Arabidopsis thaliana: one gene and its partner. The protein of the gene in region 1 interacts with the protein of each later gene in a pairwise test. Each region holds a gene or a part of one and is shown on either strand. Other genes may lie near its edges.

What was found.
Region 2: the proteins of AGL42 (region 1) and OFP16 interact in a two-hybrid assay, tested with the Arabidopsis thaliana proteins (one large-scale study listed by BioGRID).

What each region holds. Positions count from the first base shown.
Region 1 is NC_003076.8:24,957,000-24,975,348, forward strand, and holds AGL42 (AGAMOUS-like 42), read left to right. Parts: upstream 1-7,646; 5' UTR 7,647-7,960; exon of another isoform or gene 7,961-8,050; 5' UTR 8,051-8,075; coding exon 8,076-8,257; intron 8,258-9,362; coding exon 9,363-9,444; intron 9,445-9,818; coding exon 9,819-9,880; intron 9,881-10,328; coding exon 10,329-10,428; coding exon of another isoform or gene 10,429-10,464; exon of another isoform or gene 10,465-10,695; coding exon 10,696-10,737; coding exon of another isoform or gene 10,738-10,743; exon of another isoform or gene 10,744-10,841; coding exon 10,842-10,883; intron 10,884-11,315; coding exon 11,316-11,438; 3' UTR 11,439-11,608; downstream 11,609-18,349. Other genes in the region: AT5G62150 (peptidoglycan-binding LysM domain-containing protein), read left to right, coding at 1,326-1,634; ZIP12 (zinc transporter 12 precursor), read left to right, coding at 3,108-3,719, 3,809-4,264; TRM25 (LOW protein: M-phase inducer phosphatase-like protein), read right to left, coding at 16,116-16,877, 16,957-18,006, 18,104-18,192, 18,266-18,349. UniProt on the Arabidopsis thaliana protein: MADS-box transcription factor that acts with AGL71 and AGL72 in the control of flowering time. Promotes flowering at the shoot apical and axillary meristems. Seems to act through a gibberellin-dependent pathway.
Region 2 is NC_003071.7:13,643,985-13,650,985, forward strand, and holds OFP16 (ovate family protein 16), read left to right. Parts: upstream 1-3,714; 5' UTR 3,715-3,867; coding exon 3,868-4,602; 3' UTR 4,603-5,018; downstream 5,019-7,001. Other genes in the region: PUR ALPHA-1 (purin-rich alpha 1), read right to left, coding at 1-52; AT2G32090 (Lactoylglutathione lyase / glyoxalase I family protein), read left to right, coding at 516-584, 937-1,167, 1,279-1,354, 1,593-1,624.

The DNA of each region.
Region 1 (18,349 bases):
AATGATTCATAATAAATTTTTAAATTTAATATACAAAACAAAAATAGCTAGTTGAACAATTTCAATCAATTATATAAATTCTCAACTCATCGACTTGCATCAAATGTTATGACTGGTTTGGTATATGCACGACAGGACAACCGATACAATGACAGTTGGTTCCAAAAAAAAAGTTTAATCCTAAATATATGAATAATCGAATCGATCAATAACACGTTGACAAAAAACGAACAAATAATCACACTGATGAACCACTTTATAATGAACAGAGAATTTTGTAATCTGAAAATTTTGAAAGTCAAGAGGTTAATCAAGTAATTATAGAAAGGTAGTTGTAACGTTGGCTTTTGTGGAACTAATAACTTACGTGTCTTTAAACGGCGGCTACTTTGGAAGGCTACGTTTCTTAATTTGAACCTCATTTTCTCCATTTTCCTTCGTTTATACGATATCTTTTTCAAAAAAGTGACCCAATAACCACACATATAACATATTTAGTATAACTTTGAATATAAACGAATCAATGATATCTGAATTTTATTTTGATTTTGATCTTGATTTTTGTTGTTTTTTGTCGAGGCTATTGCCTTGCCACTTTGGATGAAGGAACCCGGCTAAGGTAAGACCCCCTGCCTAATATTAGCCTCCGGCGAATTTTGCACTCAGAAATTACATTATGTTATAGTTTTGGAATTTTAGTTTAAATTTGTAAAAGTATTAAAACAATTGGTCAACTATTATATTAATTAGCTCAAGAGTGCTTTCAAAAACATATCTTAAATTTAATAAAGAAATATTCCAATATCTTAACCAGTACTAAAAGAGAAGATCAGAAAATTTCTTATAAAACTTTAATCTAATAAAATCATCTACGACTCTACCATTCAATATTTTTTTGTTATTGTTTTATTTACATATTTCTTTTAATATTTACATATCTCTTTTCCTTTTTGCTAAAAAAAAGTTGGCATAAAAATTACTAAATTTTAAGCGTAAAAAAATAAAATTAATTATTGTCTATTGCCATTTTTGGAGGATGGATATGATTTGGAGGAATAGTTAAAGAAAGTGCTAAAATCTCCTTTAGTGAGTCACAACCGTTGACCTTCACCGCAAGGCACAAGAGACCAAGTCTCTAACCCAACACAACACAAAACCCATAAACTGAAAAGACTAACCTACCCTATCTTGCCATATAAATCCCTCTCGAGCAACGCATGTTAAATAAACCTAATTTATACATTCATTCTCAAAGTCAAAAGGAGACAGGGAGAGAGAGAGAGAGAGAGAGAATTCAAAGCGTTTTTTTTTTATAAATTAAAGGCATGAGAGGTTCAAGAACAGGTTCTTCAGACATGAGTGCTTGGTGTTCTGCTGTTGTGTTATTGTCTTTAATACTTTTGTTATCTGTTCGTGAAAACAACGCTTCTAATTCGATTAGAGGTTCTCAATTCTCAACGAAACCTTGTGAGGAGATTTACATCGTCGGAGAAGGAGAGACACTTCACACCATCGGCGATAAATGCGGCGACCCGTTTATCGTGGAGCGAAACCCGCATATCCATGATCCCGATGATGTCTTTCCAGGTCTTGTTCTCAAGATCGCACCTTTTTACTTCAACAGGAAATTGTAAGACATATAACAAATACGTTTCTTTTTTCTTTCTCTTTTCTCTTCTTTTAAAATTTTGTTTGAAGCATACTTTACCTTAAGTATGTATGTATATATTACTAAAGGATTCAAAAATAAATACAGAGATTTGAAAGAAACAGAGCAAAAACAGAGTTGTGTACCGTGAGTTGATTATTCATGTTTTGTGGGTTTACAAGTTCATTTAGATTTAGGTGTATATGGTAATTATCGATGATTTTTGGTCTTTGGGGTGGAAAATTTGATTAAACAAAATTAGTAGCTGATGAATGCAATAACGAAACGCCAAGTTAGAAAAAGGTCAACGACTTTACAGTCTTTACTAGTGGCAAAATATCAATAAAGGAGTTATGTTATTCTACAAATAAAAAGCTTCATCGTTTAATAATTCTTCCACTTATAGAATTCTCGTATCCAAAGAGGACAGATTATTTGATGAATAGGTGTGCTATATTCAATGATGTGTGAATTTATGCTTAGAAACTCGTGGATGAAAATATGAATTTTATTGATATATACGAATTTCAAAGAACAATAGCCGCATGGTTTGTGTCTCTTGCTATAATCCAAATAAGGATTTTGTTTTGGCAAAAACCTTAAGAAATTTTTACAAATACATGGTCAAGTTGCCCATTCCCAATCCATATCAGTTCTTCAACTTTCGAGCCCTAAGCCATCGTTTCATTGACTTGTAATGTGGGTCGGACCTGATTATGTTGGAAACCCAAACTTGAAATTTTTGCAAGTGGGCTTAAAGTTTTGAAGTTTTTTAGCGATATGGGTAAGTAGGGATTTTATGGATCGCATAGTGGATATCTTTAAAGTTAGAATTGGTCGCATGATGCCCAATGAGTGAATTATGTCATTATGTTACCTTGATTTCTCCCTGGTCGAAGAGAACTTATTCGTAGGTTTATCGAATTTGACATAATATCATATGTTCCGAGAATGCTTTAAAACTTCATATTCTGTTGCTTGTTAATGTAATATGATGTATTATTATCACAACAATAAAGTATTATCTGAACGTTGCCTCATTCGTCCCGTTACAAATAATTATGTTTGAAATATATATATGCAAGTCAAAAATATCTCATTCTCAATTAATTACATAACTATTCAAAATTATCACCAACTCTAGTTCTAGACTTCCTTTTTTGTATGCAATATTCCAAAAACTAATAAACTACACACCTAGACTAATTATGTCGTCATCTCCTAACACTATAGCTTCTAATTTCAAAAACAAAATTCCCAAAGTAAAAGTAAAATGAACATTATTACCGTGCATGTCGACATTACTCCCAAAGAATTGCACAAAATCTCCAAAACCTCTGTAAACAAGAATCTCTTATATATAAGAAACGTGAGTTGTTCGCTGTTACAAACCCACAATCAAAGCCACAAAGGAAGAAGAAGAAAAAAAACAAACCCTAACTTTTGTCAAAAGTAAACGATGAGTAGATTCCGTAAAACCCTAGTTTCTGCTTTCGTTCTCTGCTTGGTTATTTTTCCTCTTCTAGTCTCAGCGGCAGAGGAAGAAAACCAATGCGGCGGATCCAAAGGTGGCTCTGCTGCGGAGAAAGCATCGGCTCTTAAATACAAGATCATAGCTTTCTTTTCCATCTTAATCGCCGGAGTATTTGGCGTCTGTTTACCTATTTTTGGCCTCAAGACGGAGAGCAATTTCTTCATGTACGTGAAGGCATTCGCTGCCGGCGTAATTCTAGCCACCGGCTTTGTCCACATTCTTCCCGATGCTACCGAGAGTCTCACGAGTTCGTGCCTTGGAGAAGAACCACCGTGGGGAGATTTTCCGATGACGGGACTCGTTGCCATGGCTGCATCGATCTTGACAATGTTGATTGAATCCTTTGCTTCAGGGTATTTGAACAGATCTCGCTTGGCGAAAGAGGGTAAGACTCTGCCGGTGAGTACAGGCGGAGAGGAGGAACATGCTCACACTGGCTCTGCTCATACTCATGCCTCACAAGGACATTCTCATGGCTCTCTTCTTATTCCCCAAGATGATGATCACATTGATATGAGGAAAAAGATTGTAACTCAGGTACGTTAAAGTTTTTGGAAATTCTTGATTTAGATAAAGACAAACCCGTATTATTAGTCACATGTTGTCTATTTTTCTTATGGTGTTAGATATTGGAATTGGGGATTGTGGTTCATTCAGTGATAATAGGAATATCTCTAGGAGCATCTCCAAGTGTGAGCACAATAAAGCCTCTCATAGCTGCAATTACTTTCCATCAATTGTTTGAAGGTTTTGGCCTTGGTGGTTGCATCTCTGAGGCAAAGTTTAGAGTAAAGAAAATTTGGGTTATGTTGATGTTCTTTGCACTCACGGCACCAATAGGGATAGGAATTGGTATTGGAGTGGCGGAGATTTACAACGAGAATAGCCCAATGGCCCTAAAAGTTTCCGGTTTTCTTAATGCCACGGCCTCTGGAATCTTGATTTACATGGCGCTTGTTGATTTGGTAGCTCCACTTTTTATGAACCAAAAAACTCAGAGTAGTATGAAGATACAAGTAGCTTGTAGTGTATCTCTTGTTGTTGGTGCTGGTTTGATGTCTCTTTTAGCTATTTGGGCTTGAAAGTTTTAGTTATTCTTGCTTGTTTTTTGAGATTTTTTTTAGAACAGTGAAATTACATTTCAATTCGGATTTTGATACTAAGACAAACCAGTCAATTCCATTCATGAATGCTGTTATATGGGAAAGAGAATGTAAATCAGTCTGTAAGTGACACACGTAACTCTCCATGACTCCATCTCTGATGAAGAAATACAAAACCATCTAACTTACCTGCAAATCATTCGAATGCACGCTTTGTATTTACTATGATATTGTATTTGCTTGAACGCTCTTTAATTACCTCTCCTATGATGCATGTATTACCACAGTAGAACCCCTACCAACAAAATAAAAAAGGTAAAATCAGTTACTAAAAAGATTCTACAATAGCTATGAAATTGTAGTATGGAAATCTTGTAAAGCAATTACTATATGAGAAAGAGAATGTAAATAAAAAAACACTAAGCTATGAAGATGTCTATCTCATGACGTAGAACTCAAGGAAGTGAACAAAAACTACTTGGAGGACAGAGTAAATCACTCCACAACCAGCTAAACAGAGTAAGAAATGAGATTTGGCAGCAGTTGAGAATTGGATGATTTTGTAATGAGTCAAATGATGACTTTCAACTTTGGCTCTTCATAAAAGCATAAATCAAGAGAGATCATATTCTTGTCAAAACGATCCGTTTTCAACTTCTGGATATTCATGGAATAACCCCTTCAAATAGGATATGCCAATTTATCAGTTTATATTCCAATTCTTCCACTTCCATAATAACCAGTCTACATTTTAATTATCTTGAAACCAAAAGAAAAAAAGCCAAGATTAATTTCCTTTTTCTTGAAAAAACAAAGCATTCAAGTACTCAGGCGCATATGAAACATATGAAAAGTAAAATGCTTCAATAGTAGAGACAGACATGCCTTGGAACCTTGGTGGGTAAAAAAAACATACTTGAATGGCTTCATAATGAAGCAAAATAATGAGAGAACATGAGAAGCATCATCATCAAAAGCCAACACTTCAAAAAGAAAAAAATGGATATGGATATCCATGGGAATAACCCCATCAAAGCATCTTCTCCTTTTTCTTCAAGCACTCAAATGTCAAAAAGGTCACCACTTTTATTAAAACTCATATATATACACTGAGCCATTAGTCCATGAATAACCAACCAGCCTTCTCTCAAAGCAAACCAAAAAGAAAAACCAACATTGAAAGAGGAAGTTACGATAAGCGGAGCAGTAATAGGGCATCTTTCTATTGGCAGGCGACTTGGCTATTTGTATCTTTTGTGTTCTTGACTATTGGCTATGTCACTTGCCAAAGGAGAGTTGCCCTGTCACTGCTTCCGCTTAAACACAGTCTATAACCGGTTCTGCTAATATCAATCCTTCTTTTGGACATGTCCAAAGCCGAGATTGATTGATAGAGAATTGGTCTCTCTGGCTACAAAACTAGTGCGGTTCTCTCGATTTAAGTTTTAATAGCATTCACTTTGCACATTGCATCTTTCACATCAAATTTCCATTTCATCAACCATCTAAACCTCTTTGTTAGCTTTGATATAAGCAACGATCTAAAGTCTAAAAACCATTAATCCTCTGAAAAAAAAGACAATTTCGATGGTTCTATTATGTTTCTCCAATGCAGAAATTGTATCGTCTGAATTATAGTAGATTTTTTCTAGACTAAAGTGTAAACCAAGACGAATCTGCACTAACAAGACACACCAATAGACTTTACAGAGAAAGGTTACGAGTTTTGAAAATATTAACGGACCATAGTCATCGCGAAGACAGTTGAAACGGCTGAATCTCTCCGATTTGCAGTATTTCGCTTCGGGAGTCAGAAAGCAGAGGTTGAAGGCAAACGCCGCTAACGTAAACCTTCTCTTTCAGGTGGAATCTCTATTAAAAGGCTTTTGGGCCTTATTTATAGTCTTGTATCTCAATAGGCCTTTGGAGTTTGGGCTTAATTATCTAAATCGGCCTTTGGACTTATCCAAAATATTTTATTCAACTGCTTGAACGTCTCCCTTACATATCGACCATTTCATTTTTTAAAAAGATCCAACATTTGGTGAGGAAATCCAAAAATCGAATATCCAATCAGTATTAAACTAAGACTTATTGCCCAAATTGTATACTAATTCAGTTGGAACGGTAATCGAACAAGTGAAACGAATCAGTGCGAGACACGTGACAAAGCACTGACATAGTACGATGATGTCGATGCCAATTTTCAACACTGTTTTCTTTTTGGCGTGGGCCTTTTCGATACTGTTTCATCTCCTCTCGTTTTCTCCTAAGATTAAAAATAATAGAAAGAGGACAATGTATTATTATTCTCTTAACTCATAGACATAATGACACGTAGTAGGTTCTCTAGTTCCTATCTTTTGATTTCTGTTAACGACTATGTTCATTAGGAGCTACTAGTCACAATGCCTTCAATTAATTTTAACAACATATTTTAGCTACGAGCTTGTCGAGAAATCAGTTTGTTAATACTATTAAAAAAATAGTATTCACGAAAATTTTGAAATTCTCTACTAAATTTTTATTAAATCACAAAACTTTTAAAATTGACCCCATTTAAATTGACTCCCACTAATCCTATAATTAAGTGTTATGTTCTCTAGTAATGACGACATCGTTAGAAATTCAAACACTAATAAATGATTTTATTAATATTGCTCAAAGCCTCAAAGTCGTCCATCGATCTTCTCTCCCCCAAAATTTCCTATTTTAGCGGAGACTTTCCAAAATCCCTTGTTCTTTCTTTCCTCGTTAAGTTTGCCAAAATAGGGTAAAGAATATGTTTATCTCGTAGACCAAATGGATCTTCCTAATGCTTAATAGCTTTTTTATATATATATTTTAAGTTATATTTCGTACGGCTATTATTTTAATGCAACATTTGAACCTGCCACGATTGTCTTTTTTCTCAATTATATAAATAAAGGTTGAAATACTATAATTGGTGCACAGCTACAATAATTATGATATTTACTTCCGTAACGTGAAGGAGAAATATCTAATAAATTACATTTTTATATAAAAACTGTACTAACTTACTTAAAATGAGAGTGAAAATACTAAATCGTATGAATATTACAGTAGTATTTAATTACCATTTTATTGAAATTTGATATATATATATATATATATATAACCATATATTGGTATATACACACATTTTTGTTGACAAATAAATCAATTCTTATAACCAAGTTTGGTTGTTTTCCAGATAAATAAAATAAAAACAAGAATTATCCTGTTTCTTGTTTTGGCATCTAATTATCCTTTTGTATGTGGGGAGGAGAAGATATGGACACAAATTTAAAATACTCTATACATAATTTTTATTATTATCAAGAACAGAAATGAAAATAAGAATGGCATCATTTTATTGTGACCCATAAAACAAAAAAGAAAAGTGATAAAACATAAAAAAAAACTTTCTATAAAAAAAAAAAACATTAAGAAACTTGCCCCTTCCTTCTCTCACAGATCATTCTAGGGCTCCTGACAGAAAAACCAAATACCTTTTCCTCTTTCCATTTTTGTAGAATTTCAAATCTTTCTTTCCTCAATCTTTCACAATGATCTTTTCCTGTGAAGTTCTTGATTTTAAATCACCCTTTCTTCACTACTAGCTTATCTCTTCTTCAATTTTCTCTACCGACATTCAATTACTCTCCCTATTCGGTGAGATCTCTCTCTCTCTTTTATGACTTTGGTTATGATGACTGGTCACTGGCTTGTTTAGGGTTTCAATCTTTACAGATCTTGTGGCAGAAAAAATCAAGTCAAAGCAAGAAAAATGGTTAGAGGAAAGATAGAGATGAAGAAAATAGAAAACGCAACGAGTAGACAAGTGACTTTCTCAAAAAGAAGAAATGGTTTGTTGAAGAAAGCTTATGAGCTCTCAGTACTCTGCGATGCTCAACTCTCTCTCATCATCTTCTCCCAGAGAGGAAGGCTTTATGAATTCTCTAGCTCTGAGTATGTTTTCTTCAATTTCTTCTTGATTCTTTTAATTCATCTTCTTTTACTTTTCCGATCGTACTTTTTTTGGGGGGTTAATTAGGCTTTTAGGTCATGTGTTTGTGTCTGTTCTGATTTATTTTCTGAATCGTTATTGACTAAAGCAACCTTCTCAGATTTTGGTACTTGAGAGATTCGATCCTTGTCTGAATCCTAAAGATTTCTTTCTTCTCTTCCCCTATCAGTCTAATTTCATTTTTCTATTTTTATAATAGTCATTTGGTTAGAAATCTAGACAAACTCCTTTTTTCTGATCTACCAAAACTTTACATCCAAACTAAATTGTGTGCGTATATATTGATATATGTGTGTGTATGTTTCTAGGGTTTCCAAATTCTTGAAAGTATATATGAACAGAAAACAACATCGGAAGTAGATCTAAATGGGATTTATTCTATAATTTGATGATTATTTATTGTGATCCGTACCAAGTTGCACATATTTTTACCCATTTCTTTGGTGATAATATAAAATAAGTTTACTTTTTCTTGCCCCTAGTTAATTAGGTTGTGTACTATCGTTTTTGGTTTTCGTTATGTCTTTATTTGGGCTCTACTTTTGCAGCCATGTAGTAATAATGCTTGCTCTTCCTCGTTTGATTCAGGTGTCCAGTGCATACATAGTTCCCTATATATATATATGTTTAACACATTCACATCCTTAAGTTTTTGCTATAATCAATGTTAGAACCAAGTAGCTAAAGTTGTGATTTGTTATTCTCTATAGTAATATATATTGTTGATTAGAGGTTTCCTAATGGGTTAATGGATCTAGATTCAATTATTTGATGTGAGAAAAAAAAGAGTTCAATAAATGGACAAAAAAGGGCCCGGTGAATCATAGGGCATGGATTTGAATAGTTACCTAGCTATAGAGATATTAACCAACAGCAAAGAAGATATTGTAGTACAATCTAAGAATCATACTACAGTCAAACAAAATTTTCATATCTCGTTGCGATAAGATGTTATTTCAAATATAGTAGAGCTATAGATAAAACAAATACGAAGATAAGTACGTTAGTTCATATTTCTGAAAATATATGTCTATTTTTGATCATCAGTATGCAGAAGACGATCGAACGCTACCGCAAGTACACAAAAGATCATGAAACCAGCAATCACGACTCACAAATTCACTTGCAGGTTTGTTAGCAAACTCTTTTTTTTTCACTTGATGACTTTCACGGTTTTATCCTTGGTAAAAATAATCAAACTTAAACTTTACATGATTTCCATGCTATTGATATTAGACTGTGGGCTTCCAACTTAAAACCAATTGGCAATAGGTGGAGAGACCCATATCTTATATATACCACTTAAGATCCTACTCAACTTCCGATGTGGGACATTGTCCCTAATAATTGATTCTTTGACTTTCAATGGCCAACAAAACCAAATCTTATGAGATCAATTACTACATCACAAAACAACTGATGGATCGATGGTCACAAAGATTACATACTGATCTGTTTTACTTCTTTTGCATCCTATGATTTTATTTTGTGGGCGTATTGTAGCAATTGAAACAAGAAGCAAGCCACATGATAACAAAGATTGAACTCCTTGAGTTTCACAAGCGGTATAATGTCTTAGACTTTTTGTTTCTTTTTCTTTTCGTTGCTACTTCTCTTAGATCACAATCTTGATTATTATTCCTTTAATTTCATTTACGGTATTTTGTTTCGTTTTATATATAAAACCATATAAGCTTAGACTTTTTAACCAAACTTTCTTTATTAATTGTAGATCCATATCCTTAAGACTTCATTAACCATTTTTTATTTATTTCAATACTATAATTTTTAACCTTTTTGTTAGTATTTCAAGAATTTTTTTTATAAAATTTGAAACCTTTAGTCGTTTAGATTTAAAAGTCCTTTTAGTTGTTTCCGTATGTAAAGGTACGCATGTAATCAAAGACCATACTATAGTAATATCATTAATGTATTTGTTAGTGATCTCAAATAGGAGAACTACTTTGGAGATTTACAAAATTTGTTCATGAACCCTCCTCTGCGTGTGTATAGGAAGCTATTGGGACAAGGAATTGCTTCTTGTTCTCTAGAAGAGCTTCAAGAAATCGATAGTCAACTCCAAAGAAGTCTGGGAAAGGTCCGAGAAAGAAAGGTACATATACTTCATCACTATCTAATTGGTATATGATGATGATCTAATGTAACTATACAACACATATTGACTTGAATAATCTCCATCTCAGTCATCAAGTTATAGTCCTCATTTAGATATGAACTTGAACACAGATCTTTGCAACCATTTAGCGTCATATCTCAACCAATATACTAACATTGATCAAGAGTCAAGTCACATGTGTGTTTGTATATTAGTGTTGTTATCATGGAAATGAAAAAAAAAGTTGGACAAAATGTTTTATAGGCTCAATTGTTCAAGGAGCAGTTGGAGAAACTAAAAGCAAAGGTTTGATACATTATGTTATAATATAAGATATGTATATCATACATGCAATTTTTTAACTAGCTTTTTTATATGAAATTGGTGAAAGAGTGTCGGTTGTGTTTCAGGAGAAACAATTGTTAGAAGAGAACGTCAAGTTACATCAAAAGGTGACCCATCTCTCTTTACAATTCACATATTTAGAATTGTATATACCAATACTAATTCAACTGAAATTTACATATATATCATATATGTTATGAATTGCTAATGCTTTAGTATGCTGAAAATATTACCCAAAGAACTCTGATTGTTTTTCGTCGGTTGATTTTTTACATTTTTAGATTTTTTTTCTCCGGCAAAATCATTGTTAGAGATTATACGGTGCTATTCGGTAAAATTTGGTTCTCGTTCCAAGTTTTTTTTTTTTGATAAAGTATTTGATTAGTTTTAAGGATTTCAAAATTTAAGTTTGAGTTTGACTTTTTCAGTTGGTTTTGTTTACAACTTTTGGATATCATTTTTAACATTTTCTCCTAGAGATAAAATTATAAAATGATATGTTTTATGGTTGATGAAATTGCAATCTATGTCATGGACAGAATGTTATTAATCCATGGAGAGGATCATCGACTGATCAGCAGCAAGAGAAATACAAAGTTATAGATTTGAATTTGGAAGTTGAAACTGACTTATTCATCGGTTTGCCAAATAGAAACTGCTAGTAACATTATATAATATGTTTATTTATTTATCATGAAATATTCAAAATCATTCAATAAATTGTGAGGTAATGATTTGGGATAGTATTTTCTGAGTTGTTATAATTCTAGTCCTTATACAATTAAAGAGATATATATATACAGTATATTCAAAATCCTTCAACTAATTGTGGGGTATGATGTTCTTACACTATTCACACTGTATTTGGAAGCTCATGTTAAGAAACATTCTTGGGTTCATACTTGGAATGTCCAGTCATCATCCAAAATCTAAAACAAATCTTCGGCCTAAGTTATGGGCTCCAATCGGCCCAATAAGGATCCAATGGATTATATTAATATACAGCCAACTACCCACCCATGGCCCACCAGTCTTTGTTGCAGTTTACTCGTTTGCAAGTACTGTATATTATAATCAGATACACAGAAGTTAGATACTACTAATTACTTGATAGGATAATATTAATACTCTAGTGTATAGGAGATAAATGCATCAGCTCACGGTTAGCTGCTTAATTCTGCTGTATTTGAATTTTGAAATTCACTAACCTCGACCGTTGCTTTTGTAATAATAATCTATTCATTAGATAATTGTAATAATTGAGTATGGAGAACATATACATTATCAACATGTAACCAGGAGTTTTAGAGAAAATAATCTTTTTTTTCTTCTCAGTAGCGGTAAATTTACCTTCAAGACAAAATATTTATCGATTGTAAAATTATATATTAATCAACTCATCAAGTTATACTTCCAGTTGATGAAATTACTTGTATATTATATATCGAAATATTCAATACATTTACATTCTCGTACACGTACATAGATTAGAGGAGCCATGCATATGGCTGATTCGTTTTATAGTCTTTCTAAGACTTTACATAGTATGCTTTTTAACTTTTACACTTTTTCCTGATTTTCTGTAAGTCCCTTTTGGCTTTCTATTGTAACCCAACATATAATAAGAAAGAAAAAAAAAAAGAAGAAGAGTAAATTAGAAGTGGAACCAAAGATAAATTATTCTCTTTTCTTAAAAGGGTCGCCTAACTGCATTTCCCTTGCATTTAACTTATTGTAAATTCATCTAAAATCTTTTCCATAAACTTATTGTAATTTTACAACTAGAATTAGAATATTGCTAGTTTGTTACGGGCCATGATTTCAGTTTTAGCCAATTTATGGTTGAGCATTCCTTCGATTAAAGGAAGAATGTCTTTATTTGCTAGCTATACGCACAGTGTACTTAAACATTCTCATGTTGAAATATGTGTAGTATCGAAACTAATTAGCTTTAAAAATCTCAATGTCTAAATCTTCAACTTCATATATTATGTATAAAATATACTCCTTAGGGAAAATATTTCTTCACGTTTTCTTGATTTCGTTTTTCATTTAACTGTATCCGATCCAAGGTTACCGTACGCTCAAAGAGTACTCTCGGACACTTAGAATTTACACTATACATTTTAGAAAATAATATGCATACTCCCAAAAGTGGACTGTACATGTTTTCAGTTACTTATTTAATATAACTCGACTATATATATGTTCATAGATTTGCCAACAAAACATTTAATTCCAACAAACTGGGTAGTCAATTAATATTTGCTAGAAAAGATGCAAAGAGATTAGTTTATAAGAACATCATTTAATAGATTTTGGTCAACCTTTATCAACATCTTGATATCATATAGTAACGATTAGTAAAAGAAAATGAAATTATTAAAAAAACATAAACGCCCATGTGACTTCGCTTAGTTTTTTTTTTTTTTTTTTTTTGCTGCTTATTTTGAATTTCCCGCTCAACGGTCGACAGATTAGTTGGACACCTAGACGACGACAAATATAATACATCTATACACTCGCTTACAACAACAACAAATACATATATCGAAAGGCAGTTTTGTCAATTATATATAGACATTTTATTTGACCAAAAAAGAAATAGACACTTAAATGTGGAAATCTGATGATACTCCAGTTGAGTATTATTTTTTTCTCTTATACAAGATAGATGTAAAATTTTGGATATTCCAGCATGTTATAATTAGCTAGAGTCATCCATGTTGATCTTGTTTGCTGTACAAAAATATATTTTATTAAATAATTAGATATATCGGTTGTGAATTAGATTTTATTTCCAAAACAAATATATTAAGAATTTCATTAATAAAGTTATAAACGGCAAAAAAAAAAAAGTTATAAACGGTTAAAGTGTTTGAATTGTATGCTTTTATCTATCGCTCTAATTATTTTTTAGCTAGATAATGAGATTTCAATGCTTAAATTTATCTTGATAGTGCAAGTTTAATTGTAACTGTTTCAGGACTTCTGTAATGATAAGGTTTGTATGTGCAAGTGCAATGAAAGTAGAGTTACAATCTCGGCCACCGTAAGTCTGTGAACAAACACAAAACAAAGCAATTTCTTTGTCATGCAATACATATTTAACAAACTATATAATTAGCGTGTTCTTTTAATGAACGCAGCGTCAGCGACAACAAAGAAGAAAAACAGATCTGCGGCGAGAAAAAATACAGTGATTAGAGAATAACTGCCGCAGAAGATGTACGATGATGAAGATTGACGTGACGCTGCTTAATTTCAGCGATTCATTTGATGCAGTTGCAATTCATCGGCTATCATCGGCGACTCATCCAAAATTATTATTTTCAAGCTTTAATGTCGTTTTACTTACCTACTACTTCTCATGACACGTCGTTTCAGTCCGCTATTGCCGCTGTCGCAGCGTCAAATAAAAGAACACGCTAAATGTATATGCATTCTAAATTGCATGAATGGTGTCTTCATTACGACAGATGTAGCTTTAAACTTCACGTAAATGTCTCGGGTCCATGCAAAATCTATCTTTCGTCTTGTCTTTTTACTACTTTACAAGGTTCTCTTCACCTTTTTACTTTTCTCTTTTCTTTTTTTTTTCCTTAAAATATTTCTTTATATCTATCAGAAATATTCTTCTCTTACATTGCTTTGCTGTAATTATTTGGACAATCGTCAGAATTATTTAAGCTCTCTGAGATGCACAAACTCTCATGACATGATAATAAGAACAAAGATACATAACAAGATTCCTCTCGAAATTTACGTACGTTTTTTTGTACCCATCGTCAACGTCATAATCGTCAAAGGTTTTTGAAAACTTGTTGCTTCATGGATGTATGCTAATTTTTTATTTTACCATATTTTCAATACGTTTAACACATTCAAACTCATTAGGTCGAGAAAAAGTTGACATAGTCCATAAATATAACAAACAATCAAACAGATATGAATAATCTATATAATAGGAATATGATCATGTATAATAGGAATATGAATATAACAAACAATCAACCAAAAAAAAAATGATCTATATAATAGGAAAGTAGTTACTGTAATAGCTCATCAGTCATCACTAAACACATTAAAATGTAATCAATCAATTGTTCAAAATGGTTTATATATTTATCTAAAAACAAATTGAGATCATTTTGTCACATCACCATAACTATAATGTCATATTTCTTTTGGAGTGAATAATTCTTTCTGCAAAAGTGTGATGTGTGTCACATCTTCAGAACTTTGAAACCTTTAACTGTTGTTTGTGTCAAATTAAGTGGGACTAAAGGGTAGATTCCAATTACCGGTAATTCTATATTTCTGAATATTTTTAATATGTTAGGCTTGCCTATTTCATTTATATATTTTGTGAATTCAAAGCGAATGATTTTATTGGATAATTTTTTCAAAATAACTTGGATGATTTTGTAAATTTCCTTTGTTTGTTTGTAATTGGTCGGATGACATATTACAAATAATGAATCTAATTACATGCAATACACAAAGCATACGAGACCATAACACTCATCACATTCTTCATAGGACACCTTTACGTATAAAGTACATCAACAAAGACTCTGCACTACACCGACACTTTTGATAAACTTGCATTCACAATTCAGAAACTAAAATATGTTATCTGCAAATCAAATCATTATGGTCTCTAAACACTAAATATTTGAAGATATAATTCAAACTCATGTAAAAAAAGTAAGTTCAAATTTTCAGACAAAGACATGGCTAATATGGCAAAAAACAAACAAAATGTTTTGGGCCCAAAGTTATTTTCTTCTCCTAAAACCACTAAAATAGTAAATAGTAAATGCTTCTCTAGTTTTCGTGTATAGTATTCAAAACTAGACGACTATTTCCGAATCTAGCTACGATATGATTTCAAATATTTCCAATAGACCCCATAATTCATCTTGACTAAGGATTCAATGTCATCAAATGCGTGAAAGAAACGTCTCTTGACACATCTTTTTTCCCCCTTATTGACACATCTTTATCGTCAAGATTTCATTACAAAAAGAATAGCCAACAACATAAAATCAAAATATTCAAAACTCATGAATACTATTCTTTAGTCTACATAGCATATGCAAAACCCATGGGATGTTGGAATACGCGGGGGACAAAAACATCTGAAATTGACAGATCTTTCTATCTTCTAACAAAAGAGCTCCACTTCGGTCCACACTCTACAATTTCAAAATTTTATTTTATTTATTTATAACGGCTACAAAAGTATTTGAAAATTAATATAAATAATCTATATATTAAAAAAAGATATCTCTATACAAAGAAGAACCAGTAAATGTCTGCCATGTGGAATTCTTTTATCCACGTGGAAGCCTTAATCTCAATGAGGACGAGTCGTGGTGGGACCCCACATTTGTAGAGTATCTCGTCACGTGAACACCCCACGTGCCACTGACATCATCGTTACGTTTCAGCGGCGCCGTTTTGACCATCCACGTGGCTAAATAATCCGTCGTCGTTTCAGTCACGAGTGTTTCAAAGATTCCTCTCTCGATCTCCGTGACGATTCCTTCGCCGTCTTCTTCAAACGCCGATTCAATCTCCGGGAAGTCCCCGGCGACGAGAGCGTCGATATCTTCTAGAACCAAACACTTTGCTAACGGAAACCGCTCGATTCTCCGAGATAACTCGTCGATTAGCTCCGATCCCTTTAGATTCCTCTGAGACCGAATCGGGTAATGGCAAACCCAAGGTTTCAAATTTATGTGTGGCTTTAAGATATCGGCGAGGATTTCGTCTACTAAGTGGAAGAGTAGCTTTCTATTGCATCGAAGAGAGAGATTTTCCGGTGAATTTCTAGGTCTGGTTGATGTAACAGCGAAATGTTCGAGGAAGTAGAAGATTGATGGATCAAGTGGGTGTGAAGGAGAGAACCATTTAGCGTATGAGATTGGTGTGTCTCTGTCGATTCCTGTTCTTCTTAGGGTTCTTGTTATGTACTCTAATTCGCCGCCGGCGATTGGTGCAATGTGGTGTTGTGATTGGCTCGGAAAACTAGGGAGCTCTGATGATGATGCTCTGTTTCTTGGTGTTTGTGTTTCTCTGAGCTTTAAGTTTGACTGCAAAAACATGAATGAAACATTTAAATATTTAAACTTTGGATAAGGGAGGTAAAGAGAGTAAGTAGGTGTTTTGTACCGATTTGTGATGAGGTTGTGAATCTTTCTTCTTGATGGTGGGAACACTGGTGAAGTTGATGAGATGATTAATGGATAAAGGAGTTTTCTTGCTGGAAGATTTGTCTCCTTGGATAAGAAGTAGATGACCATTGTTGTTGTTGTTGCTGTTGTTTATTGCTGGTGATCGAACAAACGGCTCTTCCTGCATTGATTGTGGCGGCTTCACTAATCTCGACTTGAAATTCTCTGGTTTCTTGCATTTCTTTGTAGATTTCCTCTGTTTTTCTTTCTCTGTTCCTTGTGGCTCTTCATGCACTGTTGGTAACCTGGTCTTGTCTTGAACCTTCATTGCTGTTGTTTCCAGAATCTTGGAAGCGACATTATTTGTCTGAAGTGAGGTTGGTTTTGTTTTGGGGACTTCCGTTAATCCCAATCTCGGGGATGATGATACATCATGAGTGATGATTGTGGTCTTAGAAGAAGCTTTCTTGGACTCATGAACCTCTCTTGGTTGTGTTTCTTTGTTGGTTATATCAGTTCCCATTCTTCTTCTTCGGCTAACGTTCTCCTTCAACTGCATCACTATCTGTCTAGCATACTCTCGTGGACTCCGATTCTCTTTATCTTCGTGTATCTCTTTGACCCTCGTGAGCCTGACATTGTTAATACCAGATTCTCTTTCAGGAAACACGTTGATGTTGTTGTCTCTGAGATGAAGTGAAGAACGTTGGTGTTCGTAACAGTTGACATCAACGGATCTCCTTCCAAGTGAAATCCTCGGTGTCTCGGGAAGAGAACGTGTGCCTCCGTCGACAGAGTTTCTTTGGAGAGAATAATGTCTGTGTTTCTTTGCGTGAGAAGATCTTGTTGGTGTCTTGAGATCAATTAAGGTAGAAGAAGATGACGAAGATGGAGTAGGAGATGATCTGTAATTATCAGGAACAAGATCAAGACCCATGAGTCTAGCAACCAAAGTAGGTGTCTTTATGCTCGGAGAGTAAGTTTCAGTGGGTGTAAGAGATGCTGATGATGATCTTGCTTGTGGTTTGGTCTTGATTTTAATACCCATCTGGAAAAAACCATGATTAGGGTCAAAAGGAAGAAACTTTTGAGGAACCCAAGAAGATAAAAAAACAGAGTGGATAGTTTTAGTTTTATTCACTTACAGAGATATTTAAATTTCCATCTTTTCTGGTTGGTGAAAATGAAGTTTCCTCCTCCGTTGATTCCAAGCTGTTTCTTGGTGCATCTACGCCTGAATTTGATTTATAACAGAGAATCAAATAATGTAATGTAAAAGAGTGAAGAAGTGGGGAAGAAGATGATACCTTTGGGAAGATGAAGATGGTGGTGGTTAATAGGAAACTGTAAATGTTGAAAATCAAAAATGTTGAAGACAGCACTCATGCATC
Region 2 (7,001 bases), on another chromosome or scaffold:
TTACCGCTCTTCCGCCTTCAGCTCCTCCTCCTCCGCCTGAATTAGCTTCCATTTCAATCTTCAATTGATCGATCGGAGTAGAAAATTCGGTGAAAGAAATCTCTTCACTGAAGAGTTGAAATTGACGTCTGATCTGGTAAAGGAAGTGCGATTGGAAGAATGAGGAATTGGTGGAGGTGAGAGATTACGGAGCAATAAGGGTTTAATACCGGACCGGATGTTTTAAACCGGATACATTGTTTGGTCGGGGTCCGAACATTTCTGATTGGTCGGATATTCAGATTAAGCAACAGATTAATTTTTCTTGGAGTAACTGCAATTACGTATAATAATTCTTTTTTTTAAAGTTGGTTTTAGTTTCACTGATAGTCAAACCGATCGGTTCAACCTTATGGTTTGATTAAAGATGTGTTATAAGGAGCCGATGCCACGTACTTTTACTAATCTCTTTTTTGTCGACCATTTTTGTTTCTGAGTTGTTCTTCTTGATTAGCTTTGTCCGCTTGGAACCAAACATGGCGAGTCTTGGCCATATAGCCAGAGAATCATCAGACATCACACGCCTCGCCCAGTTTTACAAAGAGGTAACGACACCTAATCGACGTTTTCAATTTCTTACACTTTTCTTTTTCTTATCTCTCTTCGTATTCTCTGTTCTGGGTTTGTGTTGTTACTACCAATTTCGACCCAAAAAAACAAACGCACTGAGTCGATTACCCATCTGGATTAGAATCTATGGTTTGTAATTTGGCTTTTTATTTAGAGATTTGTGTTGCTATTGTGGCTTTGTCTCTTTCTCTTGTCACTTATCTCGTTTCTAGTTTCTATTGAGAGTGTCCACTTTTGGATGCCTTTAATCCTTTTGATTAAGTTAGTGTTATCTTCATCTTCGTGGTTTGTTCTGAAACCAATGGATTATATATGTATAATTGTCAGGTGTTTGGGTTCGAGGAGATCGAAAGTCCTGATTTTGGAGACCTACAGGTGGTGTGGCTAAACTTACCAGGTGCTTTTGCAATGCATATTATCCAGAGAAACCCTTCAACAAATCTTCCAGAAGGTCCTTACAGTGCTACCTCAGCGGTTAAGGATCCTAGCCATCTCCCAATGGGTCATCATATCTGTTTCTCTGTCCCAAATTTCGACTCTTTCCTTCATTCTCTCAAGGTATTGTTTCTTTGGCTTGTTTACATGAGCTTTTGATGGTACAGTTATGGATATGATTGGTATCTTTCAGAGTTATTTAATCGATCCTTTCTCGTCCTTGTTATGATGTAGGAGAAAGGGATAGAAACTTTTCAGAAGTCTCTTCCTGATGGAAAAGTCAAGCAAGTTTTCTTCTTTGATCCTGATGGTAATTAATCTCTGTTTTGCTCTTAAGCCGGCTTAATAACTATTATAACTTGGTCAGATATATGTCTACTTTTCTTATTCAGCACAAGCATTTGCAAATTACAGTTCTTGTGTATTATATATTTATATGCATTGATGCTTTAGTACTTTGGTCTATCGATCCGGAACATGTGTTCTAGGATTATCTTTCAGCGATCCTGTCTGTTTCAACTTACAGATTCTGTCGTCAAATTTTGCAGGAAACGGATTAGAGGTAGCAAGTCGATCATGAGCCTTGAACCTGAAATATGTGGTATCACTACTTATAGAATGAAATAAAAGTATTGTATAAATAATCAGTTTGTTGAAATAAAATCTATATGTCTAGGTTTGATGTTAACTTGTGACAGCTTACGCCTCAAAGTTCGTGTCATGTGCTTTGAATGTTGGATGTATCGAATTTATGAGCTTTTCCTTGTCTAGTAGTTCCCATGTCTCTATTACAACACCGAAGAGATTGGGATAGTTATAATAGAGAGAGAGGACGATAGAGACCCAACTAAGAACAACCATACATTCACAACTCGAGATATTTTATTCATTTATTGTGAAGAGTTGTTTTGGTCATATAAACTCACCCGGTTCAACCCGGATTGAACTCATCAAACGTATCATTTCTAACTTCCGGTTGACTTGTATTGCTATAAAGCTTGGTCGAATCAGACCTAAACCTCAGATATCGAGGCTAAATTATGGTTGGCTAGATCATAGTCGGGTCGTAATTAAACCCAACCTGAAGTGAACCGAATTGGTGGTCATTTGCAACATCCATGTGTAGACTGATGACCCCAAAAATAGCAAAATAGAGAAAAATGTGTTTCAAAATTCCAGTCTAAACAAAATAGGGCATCAATTTGTGGGGCTAAGTTGTTGTCCATACCCCCAACATGGCAAGAGGCATAATGGTGTGAAGGCATTACAAACATTCTACAACTTACCATAATCTAAAATCTTATGATCCATCAGTCGCCGCTTTTGTGGTTCTTATTTGGTGATGGAATATTGGCGGACGAATCATGAGTAGCTTATGTAACAACAAAGTATGATGATAGCTATATTTTCTGTTGTGGCCCACATAAATTTATCCATATGAAAGATGAGTTCGAATCTTTTTTTTTTTTTCTGGTGCCGGATAACTACGCGAAGTGGTACCACCGGTCCACCCTAGCCTTGGCACGATGATAGCTCAGCTGTGCATTTCGAGTGTTATCCGATACGATCTTTACCAGTAACGAGGGATAACCCTGAAAATATATAGGCTACAAGCAAAAATAGTCGCTAAACTATTGAATATATGAAACACAACAAGTTTCAAACCTTTCACCAACACGACTTCACATTAGTCTCTATAACCAAATCATAATGAGATAATTCACAAAAACATGCTTCCAAAATACTTATTATATTGGATGCTTCATTTCCATTTTTAACTTGCTTCTATCCATTGTCTATTCTCACCCGCCAAATTACCAGCAACAGCAAGTCATAACTGATCGTTAGTCCTTAACTCCTTATTAGTTATTACTTGATTCTACATGTACAAAAATAGCCAGACTTAGTTATAGTCACTGGTGGCTAAAATATCTTTAGGACTTGATTAACAAAACAAATATTGACCGAATGACCTGCTTGGTCGGACCAGTGAAAACTCGACCTGACCTTGTGAATCGGACCGGTGGACCAAAAACCAGGACCACACTAGGGAAGTATTCGTACTTGAACTAACGTCTTTTGGCTTTACGTCATGATGAGTGGACCAATCTAGGTGGTGGATGAATTTACCTCCTCGTGAGCTCTCTCTATTCTGTAATTGCAAGGACACTCATTCTTCATGTTTTGCAGTTTTTGTAACTCTGACAAACTATAAGGTTATATGAATAAACCAAAATTTATAAATACTATCATTCACGTATAAAGAAAGACCTCCCCATGTTGAATTCAGCTTTGTACGTCAGTGTTTCAGAAAGAAAGTGAATAATTACAAAATTAGAAAGTATCAAACCAAAAGAAAGAAAAACGCTAAAAAAGTAAATATCTGATATTCAGATTCACTCGAAAGTACAATACCCTTTAGGGAATATATGTTTTGTAAACGTTTCATCAATATAGATGAAAATTAAGGATCCTAATAACTGCATTTAGTCAATAGTAACAAGTACCATTACTTTGTTTTGCAAGTCGCAACACAAGTGCATGTGGTGATTGGTGAACACATAGTCAACATTGAGACTCTCGGTAGCTACATAACGATTCTTGAAAATGAGATAAATCAGAAAATTGATAGTAATTCACTTATTCATTTATAAAAAAAAAATTTTTGGCAACATTAGTATATAGAAATTTGTAAATTACATAAGTACCCTTTTATAAACGTAATGAGACATTTGTGTATATATATGTTACAAAATAAGCCAACATATCCATTTGCTCGAGACATTTATTCTCTTAATTCTTCTCTCTCTCTCTCTCTTAAAAATGCCAAAAATCTTGTGGAAAAGCCTCCATCTTTGCTTCCCGTCAAATCTCACCAAATGCTATTCTTCGCCGTGTATTCCTCCGTCCTCCGCCGATCCCGACGGTATCATCCAACCTAACCGTCCCTCCATCGTTCTTCTCAATAACTTCAACCTCCTTTACCACAATGACAACCACCACCACCCCCATCGTGTCATTGACTTACCTTCTTCCTCCACCACAACCACTCCGGCCGCCACCTCCTCCTCATCCACGTCATCATATGAATCTGATATCTCTCCTGATGTATCCGCCGCTTTTGCTTCCCGTCGCTTCTTCTTCTCTTCCCCTGGTCGGTCCAATGCAATCACCGACTCACCAGAACCCCGGTCAAGAGAATTCTCTGATAATTACGATGATGCCACTATCACGTCGACAAAGAAGAAGAAAAAGAAGGTTTATGATAATTCCGTGACTACTACTACTACGAGGCTTATAAGCGGAGGAACCGCCGTAACTCAACACGTGGACTCACCGGATCCGTTAACTGACTTCCGGCGATCCATGCAAGAGATGATTGACGCCGCCATCGACGCCGGAGAACTTAGTCGTGATCCGAACGACGGTTACGATTTCTTGGATGAACTGCTACTCACTTATCTCTCTTTAAATCCAGCCGACACACACAAGTTCGTCATCAGGGCTTTCTCCGACATATTGGTCTCACTCTTGTCGGAAGAACGCCGGATATGCTGACGTGGTGATGGCCGCCGGGATAAAAAAAAAACTCCCGTGCAATGAATGCAACACGTGACTATTAGTTCAGTGAACCTAACTTTCTTTTTTCCAATGTACGTCTTCATGGAAGAGTAACTAAGCAAACCAGAAAAAATTATTACTGACAATTTCATATTTTGTATGTTTTATTAAAATAATTGAATGATGCAAAGGATAGAAGAATTTTGAGATAATTCATATATTTGGTTGGATAATATAAAGTTAGATATTTTATTGACGAAAAGAACTTCTTTTAAATGGTTTATAGTTTTAAAAAACAAAATTCGTTAATATAAACCGCACAATATAGCAAACCGGGATATCAAAACTGGTCCACTCCATGATTGAGTGAAACAGACATAAAAACATGTTTTTGTGTTGAACATCACTATTGGCAAAAAAAAAGAAAAGTATTAGAACTAGAAGTGAATTTCTAATGTGATATGAATAACAATAACTTGGTTCGGAGGTAGAAGTAATTAAAGAAATGGTTTAAACGTTAAAACTTATGAATTAACAAATAAATCAAAGCTAAATACGTCCAAAAAACTTTATGATAAGAGTTAAAATGGAACTTGGTTGGATCAATGAAGCATAAGGTTGAGTAGACAACAATATCACCAAGGTACAAAGCTTGAGGCATCGATAAACTCTCTAGTTGCTTATATTATGTCAAGGCATGCATGGATCGTGTTTTAAATATTACTATGTATCCATACTTTAATAAAGAGGCATATATAGTTAATGTTTCTACAATATATAAAGTAAAAAAAGTAGAAGTTTTTACTTTCTGTATGTTGCCTCAGTTCTTAATGTTGCCTTCATGGATGTATATGTATTATCGTTAAGACAACAAAAGGATGCTACTTTTTGCTTGTATAGTTGTATTGTTTTGTTTCTGTACAAAATATATAGACTCTGTAATATTGTTTTTTTTTTGTGAAGAAGTAATATTGTTTGTTACATCAATTAAATAATGAAATCTATTATTTTCCTTTGCTTCTTTCCATAAGATTTACACGTAACACAATGTGAGACAAAACAAAATAATTGAGAATCCTAAGAGACGGATGTTGGAAGGTCCACTCGACCAAATAAACTTAAAAAATGTAGCTAATACTTTAAAATAAGGGTCTAATTAAACAAAGTATTATAAGTTAGTTGGTTTAGGTGAAAGTAAGACCATGCCATTTGTCTTATTGATCAGTGTTCACTAAAGAATTAAAACTAGCCTCTAGACCCGCTCAATTGCGAGTAAAACACTCAACTTAATCTAATTAGTATAAGATTATACATTTCAACTATAAAGGGCTAAATAGCTCATATTTGTTAACACTTTGAATTCATTAGTGAACTAGCTAAATCTCATTTTTGCAATGAAATCAGCATGTCTTTTATTGCATGAAAGGTGCTTATGGGCGAAGTTGCAACTAATTTTTTTTTTTACTTTTGGTAAAAAAGTTGCAACTAAATTTGACTATGATGAGTTTACAATTTACAAAAAATAATAAAAAATGACTATGATGTTATATATTTATAATTAGAGAAAATGTGCGTTTTGTTAAATCGTCATGTATATGTAATAACTGACTATGATTTTATCGTAAGTTAAACGACTCAAAACGTGAGCAATCTTAATTATACTTTTCGAGTTGGTAAATGGTGCCTTGTTTTCTGCCGCTTGTCTCCAACTCTGCCTAACCACTTGGTTGATAATGATAAGTCAATAGAACCTATGCCACAATGTTTATGCGTGTGTGTGAGAGAGAGAACAAATTTGGGTCAAACGTACAGTAGAGTTTCATATGTCCATTTGACCATTTCGGTGCGAATTGAAGGTCATTTAGATAGGAAATTATCTGTCAACCACCTCACTGTTTTAAACGAATCAGAAAAAGAATCCGAGAAGAAATAATTTGCTTACTAGCTAGATTTAAGTGTTGAGATTTTTTTCAATGCAATTGCCATTTTCTTAGCCAAGCCTTTCTCCGAAATATCCCGTAAATCACAAAATACTTGTGATTACATCCCATAACGAGAATACATTTTATAATGGTCTAATAAACTCAAAAACTATAATAGTGTATAAATAATTTGTCGTTGAAATTAGCAAGTTGCCGTAGTCAATACAAATCATGTGATATCACATGTTACGACTTACGAGTTTAGACGATTTTTATTTATTTACTTATAAATGGATCCATGCATGTTATTTTCTGCAAAATTATACAATCACTTTTGAGTCCAATAACTTAAAAGTTCCACACCTACCTAAATATGGGTCAATCTCAAGATATGAGATCACTATCGAGACAAAATAAAAAGTTTGATACTCATGCACTGCATTTGGATTTCTTACCTTTCCTATCAAAATTAAA